Coturnix japonica: one gene and its partners. The protein of the gene in region 1 binds, or shares a complex with, the protein of each later gene. Links are inferred from orthologs where the notes say so. Each region holds a gene or a part of one and is shown in the gene's direction. Other genes may lie near its edges. The genes, in order: GNAI3, RGS10 and GRM4.

Region 1 (3,743 bases):
GCACCGGCTGCCCCCAAGAGCTGCCCCCGCCGCCTCTGGGCACCCCCAGCCCCAAACGGGAACCGGCGCCCGTCGATTTTCGCATCCCGGGACAGATCGGGGATGAAGCGGCCGAAGGGACGGAGCGGACGGGGGGGGCACCGTGAGCAGAGCGGGGCTGTAGCGTGTGCGGCTGCGGGTGTTAAACAAGGATGGAAGGGAAGAGTGGTGTGGGTGTGTGGATGTGGGGCGGGACGTGGGGAGGGGGTGGAGGGGTGGGGGACCCAATGTGTGGGCTCCACGGTGGGGTTGGGGGCTCAGCATCGGGTTGGGGGCTTAGCAGTGGGTTGAGGGCTCAGCATTGGGTTGGGGGGCACAGCATTGGGTTGGGGGCACAGCATTGAGTTGGGGGGCTCAGCATTGGGTTGGGGGCACAGCATTGGGTTGCGGGCACAGCATTGGGTTGGGGGGCTCAGCATCGAGTTGGGGTCACAGCATTGGGTTGGGGGCTTAGCAGTGGGTTGGGGGCTCAGCATCAGGTTAGGGTCACAGCATTGGGATAGGGGAACAGCATTGGGTTGGGGGGCTCAGCATCGGTTTGGGGGCTCAGCACTGGGTTGGGGGCTCAGCATTGGGTTGGGGGCTCAGAATTGGGTTGGGGGGCTCAGCATTGGGTTGGAGGCTCAGCATTGGGTTGGGGGGCTATGTGTTGGGTTGGGGGCTGTGTAGGCCCCGCAATCATCTCAAGACTACAACTCCCATAATACATCCACACAACACCGGAAGTTCCGCCCTCTCAGCTCCCATCATGCACCACTTTACCGAGGCGGAAATGCCCTGTCGGACGGTGCTTCCCGGCGTGCTTTGCGGCTAACGGTCGCTCTGGGCGGATATCCGGTTCCGCCTGTGGGAGCCGCCCCGGCTGAGGGAGAGGCGCGGTTCGGTTCCGCTCCGTCCCTTTTCGTTCCGTTCCATTTGAAGGCCCGGCGGCCTCCGCCCAGCCGCCGTTATGGGCTGTACATTAAGCGCCGAGGATAAAGCGGCGGTAGAAAGGAGTAAAATGATCGATCGGAACCTACGGGAAGACGGCGAGAAGGCGGCCAAGGAGGTGAAACTACTACTGCTGGGTGAGAGGCCTAAACCGGGCCTAGTAGGCCGCGGGGCTGAACTGGGCCTAGTAGGCCGCAGGCTTTAGATTGGGCCTAGTAGGCCGCAGGCTCTGATTTGGGCCTAGTAGGCCGCAGGCTTTGGATTGGGCCTAGTAGGCCGCAGGGGCTGGGCTGGGCCTAGTAGGCCGCGGGGGTGGGGATGCGCTTGGGATCTGTCTAAGTGCATTGGGCCTATCGGAACCAATGGGCCTGTGGGGTTTGGGCCTATTGGAACCAATGGGCCTGTGGGCTTTGGGCCTATTGGAACCAATGGGCCTGTGGGCTTTGGGCCTATCAGAACCCCCAGGGCAGCGCTCCCACGGTGGCCGCACCGCACCGTATGGTGCGGTGTGGCCACCATGGGAGTGCTGCCCTGTGGGGGGTGTTTTAAAGCAAGCCAGGCCTCCTGCTGACTCAATCGTGATGGTCTTCCTTCTGTATTTATCCTTTTTAGGTGCTGGGGAGTCTGGGAAGAGCACCATAGTGAAGCAGATGAAGTAAGTGAAGGGGTTGAAGTGCCGCTGAGCTGCCGGTCTGGTTTGGTTTAGCAATGACAGCTCGGTTTTCTTTAGGATTATCCATGAGGATGGTTACTCGGAGGAGGAATGCAAGCAGTATAAAGTGGTGGTGTACAGCAATACGATCCAGTCCATCATTGCTATCATAAGAGCCATGGGAAGGCTAAAGATTGACTTTGGAGAGGTGGCCAGAGCTGTAAGTACTTCATTGATCTCCCTCTGTGTTTGTGCTTTGAATGGTGTTAATGAGAGCTGGAGATTGGGGCTGTGTCTGCATTGACAGGAGACCCCTCATTGTCTGCAATGTAAGTGCTCAACATTAACCACAAACCTGAGGTGTCCCTGAGCCACCTCGTGTTATAGAAGCAGAGCATTGAGCAGCTTTGGCTGGTCCCTGTGCTCTGTTTGCCATATCTACACATTGCTTGCGAGCCTATGGAGGTGTGGGCTGTCACACTGAGGCTCACAGCAGCATCCTGATCCCTCTATGTGCTGCCTCGTGATGAAATGCTCCATTAGGAAATGAGGCTCCCTCACCTCTCAGCTATTGCAGTGATCCTTAAGCTTGTAAACTTGATTTCCTTTCTTAACCCCCCCTCCTGTCCCTGCAGGACGATGCCCGCCAGCTGTTTGTGTTGGCTGGAAGTGCAGAGGAAGGGGTGATGACGGCCGAGCTGGCTGGAGTGATCAAGAGGCTGTGGAGGGATGCTGGAGTGCAGGCCTGCTTCAGCAGATCCAGGGAGTACCAGCTGAACGACTCTGCCTCGTAGTAAGAGACCCCTTGGGCCCTTCTGGTGGTGGGGTGGGCAGGCAGGAGCTGCCCTCTGCTTGGCTGTGAGTGCTGTGATAACCAATGTGAGGAGGGCAGCTGCTCCTTTGGTTCCTGTCCCTATCAAACAGCTGTTGCTTCTGTGTGGGGAAAGCTGCGTGTTCATTGCTTTGTAAACCCAGGAGGAAGGGTGGCTGTGGGGTCGGTTGTGCTTCCTGGTGGCTCTGCGTGGTCTGGCCAAGTTTGAAGCCTCTGAGAAATGAGTTTGGAAATGCTTTATAAGAACCTTGAGATGAGTCACAGCTCGGCTCCCTGCAGGCTCTGTCTGCACAGAGCACAATGCAGCTCGACAATAAGCAAGAGCGCTTCTGAAACTGTAACAGCTCAGCAGAGGATGTTGAGTTTAGATCAAGGGAGGTGAGCTGGCAGGGGGAGCGTTTCTGAGATGCTTGCAGGAAAGCAGCTTCAGGTTCAAAGGGAGAGGAAAGAGCTGAAAATGAGAGAACAGATTGAATAGAAAGACAGGGCTGTTAGGAAATGCTGCAGAGTGCAGTGAGGAGCTGGCTGCTGCTGCAGCACCCGGCCTTGCTAATGCACAGAGCGAGCAGTCAGCTGAGCTGCTGCCCAGCACGCAGCCCTGAGCGCTTCATCTCTGCTGTTACAGCCTCAGCTTCCTCACTGACACACTGCAGCCCTTCCTGTGGTGATAGTGTGGGTGATGCTGTGGGTACATGGTACTCCTAAGGGTGCTTTATCTCCTGCTCCCCTGCAGGGCTGAGGTCTCAGGGTTGGAAGCACACGCTGCAGAGCAGTGCTGCAGTGAGATGGATGGGGTGATGCCAATGGGGACGGAGCCGTGGATCCCCACAGCTACTGAGCCAGGAGCTGGGGAGGCTCAGAGCAGCAGCAGGGCAGACACAAGTCGTGCTGTGGGCTTTCAGTCAGTGCTCTGTTCCCAGAGCCTCATTTCAGGGCGTAAAGAAAAGAAAACAAGTGAACCGAATCCACCCTTCTTGCAAGCTTGTGTTTACCAGATGGCGTCAGAGCATGGGAAGTAGCTGGCTCTGTAAACATGAGGGTGCGAGGTGGGGAAGCAGTGTTGCAACCTCAGCGTACAGAGGAAGCCTGGTGGTGGAGGAGGCTGCAGAAGGGCTGCAGGCAGTGTGGGGTGCAGCGGCTTTTATTGTATCCAGCGAACCTGGATGTGGTGGTGGGCAGCAGGAGGAGGCTGTGGGCTGCCCTGACCTGCTGTGAGTCCTCCCCACAGCCACCATGGGGCAGCCCTGGCTGTCAGCTGGCCTTGCTGAAGGTTGTGAATGAACCTGCCTG
Region 2 (3,743 bases), on another chromosome or scaffold:
CCTCTATTTGAGGAGCTGGATCTTTGACCCCAGTAAGCAGGCAGGTAGAGGTACTGTTCCATGATGAATGCTCTTTGCATTGCCCATTCAATGAGGGAGATACTTCATTCCACAAATGAGTTATGTCCTTTAATGATGGATCATTGAACGTGATGAGAAAGAGCAGCTGAGACAACTTATTGCTTCATTCAAGTCTTCCAGTTTGGATTTGGGTCATGACAGGGTGGGGACTAACTACTTAGTTATTGAAATGACCTTTCAGGTTTGCAGGGTGCCTCTAAAGAACCTTTTCTATTTGAGTGTTACTTGAACCTGGAAGCACGAGGATGCTTCGTGTTCTAGGTCTGGAAGAAAGAATTGGCCTCTTAGAGCTACTATATGCCACAGCTACCACAAGGGATCACTGTTGTGCAGCCCTGCTGGAAGCATTAGAGCGTGACTATTGGCTTTAAGTGCAAAACTTGTGTTCTGTGGAGTATAAAGCTGACCTGTACATACGTGAATATGCATCCACCACCGTCCTTAAGTTGTGCTTAAGCTGTGAGCTGTGATTCAGTTACTGCTAAAGCTGTGTGTCTCATTTTCATGCTCAGTCTTTGCTGTGTTTTTAATTAGATGTGCTTCTAGTGGACAGAGATGTGCTCACCTTCCGTGCTGTGCTGCCACCTGGTTCGTAGCAGGTAATCCCTTTCAATGTCCCTTATATCTGTGCAAGATGATGGTGGTCCCCCCTGTTGTGAGTCTTTTGGTTTCTTATTCCTATACTTGTTCTGATATTTGCAGAGTGATTTTAAAAATGTGTTAATTCTCCTTTGTTTTTTTTCTTCCCTTCAGTCTCCAGGTTTGGACTGGATAAAACTCACCACATCTCAGTGTCTTTATCCCTCCCCGCTATCAGCCCTAATTATATTTTAAAAAGCAGCACCAACAGGGCAGTGAATCAGGGCATTTTTCCAAGGTGGAGATGAGTGATGCTGGATAAACAAATTCCCCTTTTTGCTCCTGATTCATGTGGCCATGTCTGAAGCATTTTCCACTGTCTTCACTTCAGGCCTGTTCTATGCTGCTTCCCTCACAAGAAGGATGTGCTTGTTTTCACTGTGTGGGCCTGGTTCTCCAGTGTTTACATCAGAAATACACCTTTACTGCAGTCTAATTGTGTCGTAGCTGAGATAGGGGCTTGAAGACGCTTAAGAGCTTTTACGTTCAGTTTTAAGTGAACTTTCCTATGTGAACGTGGTGTTGAAAGCAGAAATAAAAGCTGAACGTAAACTATAATCACACGGCATGTTTTCATTGATTTAAACGTACTTAAATTGTGCATCCCGTGCTGGCACAGCCGCGTTTGATGCGCTGAGGTGGAGCTGTGTGGTGACCCGCTCCGGGCCCTCAGCGCGGGAGGCGGGAGGCGGCTCCGTCATGAGGCGGCGGTCGGGGCGGGGCAGGCGGGGCCGCCCCCTGAGCTCCGTGCAGCGCGGGGCCGCCCGGCCGCCACGAGAGATGTTCAACCGGGCTGTGAGCCGGCTCAGCAGGAAGCGGCCGCCGTCAGGTAATGAGCGGGGAGAGCGCGAGGAGCCGCGCGGGGCTGATCCGAACCGGCACTGACAGGCGGAAAGAGAGGGAGGGCGGGCGGGGCCGGAGCTTCCCGCCGGTGGGTGCTGTGAGGAACGGGAGGGAGGGAACGGGCTCATGGTTCTGTCGGAGCCCGGTGAGGGAGCGCCACGGCTCCGGATGCTCCGCCTGTAGAACGCTGCGAGCCCGTGAGCAGGGCGGGCTGTGAGCCGCCGAGCTGCGGGGGTGGAAGCCACCAAGGGAAGATCCCGCCGGGGAACGACGCCGCCGTGTCGCTAAGAAAAGCCGAACGCGACAGGAGAGCGAGCACAGAGATGCTCCAGGAGCAGAACGTCCCCCCAGCTTCCTGCCTTAGAGTTATAAGTAGAATCCGGCGGCAGAAAGAGGACGTTGGGCCTCGCCGTGCCGTGCTGTAGGACCCGTCCGGCTCGGAGCAGCTCGGCTCTGCCGCGGGCTTTCCCGTTTCATAACCCGGCGTTATTAACTCCAGGCTGCCGGCTGCAGCTCCTAGTGCTGCCCTGACCGCAGGACGAGACGCGGTGCTGGGAGATTGTAATTAACAACGAAATTCGCAGCTTTGTGAAGCATCCAGGCGGACGGGGAGGAGCACGTGTGGTGCGTACAGTTCTATGAGACTATTCAACACCTCGAAACCTTCTCTTGCTGCCGTATGAGCTGCTGTGAGCCCCGCACGGCGCCCATTGCAGCTGCAGGTGGGAGCTGTCACAGCGCACGGTCCTTATGCAGGGCAGTGCCCAGCTCCATCTGCTGTATCTCTATCAATCTCCATCAGGTTGGGTTTGCACGTGTTTGGTTGCTGAGTGCCAGAGCTGTGAATTCTGCTCGTTGTGTATTTTCAATGCCTGCGTTTGCTGGGTGCAGCTGTTGGCCGTTTGGGATGCTGTGTTCCAGCTGCCCGTTGCAGTGTTGTTGGCACTGCGCTTGGCGCTACATCTGCCCCTTACAATGAGCCTTTATCCGCAGCTCAGTGTGGCAATATTGTTGTGTGACAGGGTAAAGCTGCTGGCAGATTCTCCCCCGGTGCAGCTGTGCAGCTCAGTGCCCGTTGGCTGGCTCAGCATGGGCTGCTGCTTAAAGAGAGGAGGTTAAGAGAAGCACTTTATCGCCTGCTGTGCTGGTACGGCCGCTGGCTGCTGTGCAGGGCAGATTATCAGCAGGTGATGGTAACTGAAGGTTATCTGTATAACTGCCCTTCAGAGGAGGTATTTAAGGGAATTTAGTCTTAAGAACATGAGGGTTACTGTGGGGAAAACCTGCCTCTAAGTAATAATAGAAATTAGGCATTACATTTGTAAATGAAACTCATCCATGGAGTAACGATCCCAATTGGGCTGTGCTGCTGTATTAGGGCTCCATTTGATGGGGTGTAATAAAACCTCCAGGTTGTGCTGTATGTGCTGGGGGTGAAATTGTTGGTGGTTGGAGGGAAATAGAGTTGCCTTGGTCAGATGAGAACAGAGGGAGAGCAGCCAGAGGAAAGCTGTCATCTGGAATCCTATCAATAGAAATGGGAGGTTTTCCTTCGCTGCAAACAGTCCTTCTCACTGTTGGGAGGAGATTGTCCAGCTCTCTGTGCTGCACTGCTGGTATTTTGTAGGGTTTTAAACACAGCTACCAGCTGAAAAGGGTATCTGATAGTATAGCACTGCAAAGATGGCTCTTGGAGATACTTGCTGAGGTTTTGATTCGGGGTGGAGGAAGAGAACATAAGCGGAAGTAAGTAAGATCTTTATTTCCAGTAAGCCAGGAGGGAGAAATAAAGGGGTTATGAAAACAAATGGCAGCTGTACTGGTTACTGGGGGAGCTTTATGTGTCTGTTCAATGCGTAGGGACCCTGAATAGTGCCTGATTCGTGGCCTGCGCTTCTGCTGCCTTCAGCAGACACTGAGTGTAAGGGGAGAGAAGGCCGAGCTCTTTGTGTGTATCTTAGAGTTCTTCAGATCAGCAGTAGAATTCCTGGACTCTTCCCAAGTAATTGGTCTTCTGATGCGTAGCCAGCAAACAGCTTTTTGGCATCGCCAGCCTTGAATGTGATGTACTTTGTATCCCTGGGATGGAGCTGTGCAGAACCACATGCTGGCTGCCCTGGGTGATGCCTGGTGGGTTCAGAAGTCCTGGGCTCAGCCCAGCTCACTGTAAGAGAAAGGAA
Region 3 (3,643 bases), about 2.7 Mb from region 1:
CCAGGATGGACCCGGTGGATGGTGTGGAGCTGCTCAAGTACATCCGCAACGTCAACTTCTCAGGTCTGGGGCTCTGGGGAGCCCGTCCTGCTTGCTGGGTGTCCCCTGTCATAGGTGACACAGCACCCATAACTGGCTGCCTTGCATTGCTGCTGGCAGAGGTCCCACCGCATCACGCTGCTGTGCCCTTGTCTGTCCTCAGATCTCTGGAAACGCATCTTTTCCTCTGCTCCTCCTCTTTAATAAACATTTTCTGTCTTGTCCTCCTGATTGTTTCTATTTATCTCCTCTCTGTGATCTCCTCTGCAATGTCTCCTATTTATTTCTCCCTCTTGCTTGGTTTTTCTCTTCCCTCCCTTTACTGGTGTTATCAATTGACTTAACATTAAATCTATTTCTCAGTTTTTCTTAAAAGAAGTGCTAAAATGGCCATCATAACAGCACTCCTTGCCTGGCACTACCAATAAATTCCAGCTCTTGGTGGGTCTGCTGGGCTGATCTGTGGCTCCCCATGTGGTCCTTGCATCAGCTCAGGCTCAGGAATGATTTCCTTTCTTTCTTTTCTCCCCTTTCGTTCCTCCTTTTCTTTCCTTTCATCCCCACTTCTCTCTCTTCCTCTTCTTTTCCCTCTTCTCTCTTTTCTTCCCTCTTTTATCCTCCTTTTCTCCTCCCTTTTCTCCTATTTTCCTTTTTTCCTTCATTCCTTTTTTTTTTCCCTAAGCACCCACCCTGAGCCCCAGCTGGCACTGACCACGTGGGGTGGAACACCAAACCCTTGGATGCCATCACTCATGGCACCCTGTGCTGTGGGGAGCTCTGGGTGCTGAGCAGTCCCTCTCCTGTAGGCATTGCTGGGACTCCAGTGACCTTCAATGAGAACGGAGACGCACCAGGACGTTACGACATCTATCAATACCAGATCAGGAACTCCACTCCTGAGTACAAAGTCATTGGGCAATGGACCGACCACCTCCACCTGAAGGTAAGGCAGGGGATCATCATGCAGCAGCTGAGGCTCAAGGGGTGTGTGGATGCAAAGTGTCTTGAGCCAGACACGTCAGCAGGTGTCTGGCTCAAGCATCAGCTAGAGCACCTCTTAAATGAAGAAAGGTCAAGGGAGCATGGAATAGGGGAGGCTCTGGGGAGACCTTATTGTGGCTTTCCAGTCCTAAAGGGAGCCTATGAACAAGACGTAGATCAACTTTTCAGGTTGTCTGATAGCGATAGGACAAGTGGGAATGGTTTTAAACGAAAAGAAGATGATTCAGGTTAGATGTTAGGAGGAAGTTCTTTACTCAGAAGGTGGTTTGACCCTGGCACAGGGTGAGCTGTGGTTCCCTATCCCTGGAGATGCCTGAGGCAATGGATGGGGCAGACTGTTCTGTTGAGGGGCGATAAGCCCATAGCAGGGGTTGGGACTGGATGGGCTTTAAGGACCCTTCCAACCCAACCATTCTATGATGTGACATGATCAGTTGTCCTGATGCCATCTCGCCCCACAGGTGGAGAACATGCTGTGGCCAGGGGGTGGGAGCCAACTCCCCAGCTCCATCTGCAGCCTGCCCTGCAAGCCAGGTGAGAGAAAGAAGCTGGTGAAGGGGATCCCCTGCTGCTGGCACTGCGAGCGCTGCGACGGATACCAGTACCAACTGGATGAGTTCCACTGCAAGCGGTGCCACTTCAACGAGCGGCCCAACGAGAACCGCACCAGCTGCCCCCCCATCCCCATTATCAAGTTGGAGTGGAGCTCCCCATGGGCTGTGGTTCCCGTCTTCATTGCCATCGTGGGCATCATCGCCACCCTCTTCGTGGTGGTCACCTTCGTGCGCTACAACGATACGCCCATCGTCAAGGCCTCGGGGAGGGAGCTCAGCTATGTCCTGCTGACGGGCATCTTCCTCTGCTACGCCACCACCTTCCTCATGATCGCCGAGCCTGATCTGAGCACCTGCTCCTTGCGACGCATCTTCCTTGGGCTCGGCATGAGCATCAGCTACGCTGCGCTGCTCACCAAAACCAACCGCATCTACCGCATCTTCGAGCAGGGCAAGAAGTCGGTGAGTGCCCCGCGGTTCATCAGCCCCGCTTCCCAGCTGGTCATCACCTTCAGCCTCATCTCGCTGCAGCTCGTGGGCGTCTGCATCTGGTTCATCGTGGACCCGTCCCACTCTGTCATTGACTACGAGGACCAGCGGACTACAAACCCCCACTTTGCCCGGGGCATCCTCAAATGTGACATTTCGGACCTCTCCCTCATCTGTTTGCTTGGGTACAGCATGCTTCTCATGGTCACCTGCACTGTGTATGCTATTAAGACCCGTGGGGTCCCAGAGACCTTTAACGAAGCCAAACCCATCGGGTTCACCATGTACACTACTTGCATTGTGTGGTTAGCCTTCATCCCTATATTTTTTGGGACGTCGCAGTCAGCAGAGAAGGTAAGGTGGTGGTGGACCTGTGGGCTGCCAGGAAGGGGCTGAGCAAGGAGGGATGCTTTCTTACGAACCATAGGATATGTTGAGTTGAAAGGGACCCATCAGGATGTGGTTTTGTTGGCTTGGATATCGTGGTAGTGGTAGGAAGTGTTGATTTGAAGCCTCTTGCTCCACTGGGAGCCTCGTCTTATTACCCCTCACCCCTTTTTCTGCATGCTGTAGTCCCCCATTGCCCCTGTATGAACAAGGCTGATGGGGACTGTCTGCTGCTGGGTGGGGAGGATGGGCCCATGGGGCAGCTGTGGGCTGGGGGGCAGACCCAGACCCTGGTGTCATTAGCACCAAGGAAAAATAACCCTGAGCACTACCTGTCCTTCCTCCTGTGCCAAATCAGTGCTCTCTGAAATCCCCCAGAGCTGGGAGCAGCTGGAGGTGAGGGCAGGGAGGAGCAGAACCCTCAGCACTGCAGCGGGGCACACGGCACCTTGCGCCTTCTCGCTCCATTACCACCTTGCTGCGATTTTAATTAACACCCATTTGTTTGGCAACAAGATGCTGACGGCAGATTCCTCAGCGTGGCTGCGAATCACACAAGCTGTGATGGGACGTGTGGCCCTGCTGGAGCTCTGAGTGCCTCTTTGCAGCACTGTGCATGGGGACAGGATGGGTGATGTGAGCACTGGGTCTGCTGCAACCCCCCTCCCCATCCACCTGCCTCCCTCCCTGTGCTGGGGGCAGAGCGTGAGCTACCAGCCTGGATGAAACCCGTGCTCAAGTGAAAACAAAGGGAAAAAATCTCATGAATGAGGAAAAAAAATCCCCTTTGCTTGCCAGACAGAATGGGAATCGCGTTTGTGTTACACACCAGCAGCTCACGCCTGCCAGCCCTGCGACAAATAAACCTCGCTGCTGCTATTCCCTACAAATCCCTGGCATCAACATCCCCAGGGTGACTGCCACTTGGATTCCCCTTCTGGATCCATCACAATTAGGGTAATTATCCCGAGTGTGTCCCCATTGATGCCGAGCTGCTGAAGCAGTGCCTTTTGGAAGCACCTATTGCAGGAGGGCTGGGGTTGGCTTGCTTTTGCTGTGGCCTTTGCATGTGTCCTGAAGTGCTGGCTCTGCTCAGAGCACCTGAGTTTGCACTCACACCTTAAGCTTTGCCTCAGCTAGAAAATCCCTTAGCAAGCCATCCCGCTCTGGCT

The links.
Region 2: the proteins of GNAI3 (region 1) and RGS10 are in contact, whole or in part, in a crystal structure (PDB 2IHB), measured with the Homo sapiens proteins. The link is inferred for Coturnix japonica from reciprocal best matches to the Homo sapiens genes GNAI3 and RGS10. Residues at the interface, in NP_006487.1 of Homo sapiens: Val71, Val72, Ser75, Glu115, Val179, Lys180, Thr181, Thr182, Gly183, Ile184, Val185, Gln204, Ser206, Glu207, Lys209, Lys210, His213, Ala235, Glu236; in NP_001005339.1 of Homo sapiens: Glu62, Phe63, Ser64, Glu66, Asn67, Ala102, Ser103, Ser104, Gln105, Val106, Asn107, Val108, Glu109, Gly110, Leu137, Lys139, Tyr140, Asp141, Ser142, Arg145.
Region 3: the proteins of GNAI3 (region 1) and GRM4 are in contact, whole or in part, in a cryo-EM structure (PDB 8JD6), measured with the Homo sapiens proteins. The link is inferred for Coturnix japonica from reciprocal best matches to the Homo sapiens genes GNAI3 and GRM4. Residues at the interface, in NP_006487.1 of Homo sapiens: Ala31, Lys32, Val34, Lys192, Asp193, Leu194, Thr219, Phe336, Thr340, Ile343, Ile344, Asn347, Leu348, Cys351, Gly352, Leu353, Tyr354; in NP_000832.1 of Homo sapiens: Pro616, Lys619, Ala620, Gly622, Arg623, Glu624, Arg676, Ile677, Ile680, Phe681, Gln683, Gly684, Lys685, Arg686, Ser687, Val688, Ser689, Ala690, Ile694, Ser695, Pro696, Phe781.

The regions. Positions count from the first base shown.
Region 1 is NC_029541.1:1,611,859-1,615,601, forward strand, and holds the start of GNAI3 (guanine nucleotide-binding protein G(i) subunit alpha), read left to right. Parts: upstream 1-852; 5' UTR 853-988; coding exon 989-1,106; intron 1,107-1,581; coding exon 1,582-1,624; intron 1,625-1,699; coding exon 1,700-1,841; intron 1,842-2,256; coding exon 2,257-2,414; intron 2,415-3,743. Other genes in the region: GPR61 (G-protein coupled receptor 61), read left to right, coding at 1-146. UniProt on the Homo sapiens protein: Heterotrimeric guanine nucleotide-binding proteins (G proteins) function as transducers downstream of G protein-coupled receptors (GPCRs) in numerous signaling cascades.
Region 2 is NC_029521.1:26,956,290-26,960,032, reverse strand, and holds the start of RGS10 (regulator of G-protein signaling 10), read left to right. Parts: upstream 1-1,415; 5' UTR 1,416-1,419; coding exon 1,420-1,549; intron 1,550-3,743. UniProt on the Homo sapiens protein: Regulates G protein-coupled receptor signaling cascades, including signaling downstream of the muscarinic acetylcholine receptor CHRM2.
Region 3 is NC_029541.1:4,300,914-4,304,556, forward strand, and holds part of GRM4 (metabotropic glutamate receptor 4), read left to right. Parts: coding exon 1-63; intron 64-845; coding exon 846-982; intron 983-1,502; coding exon 1,503-2,438; intron 2,439-3,643.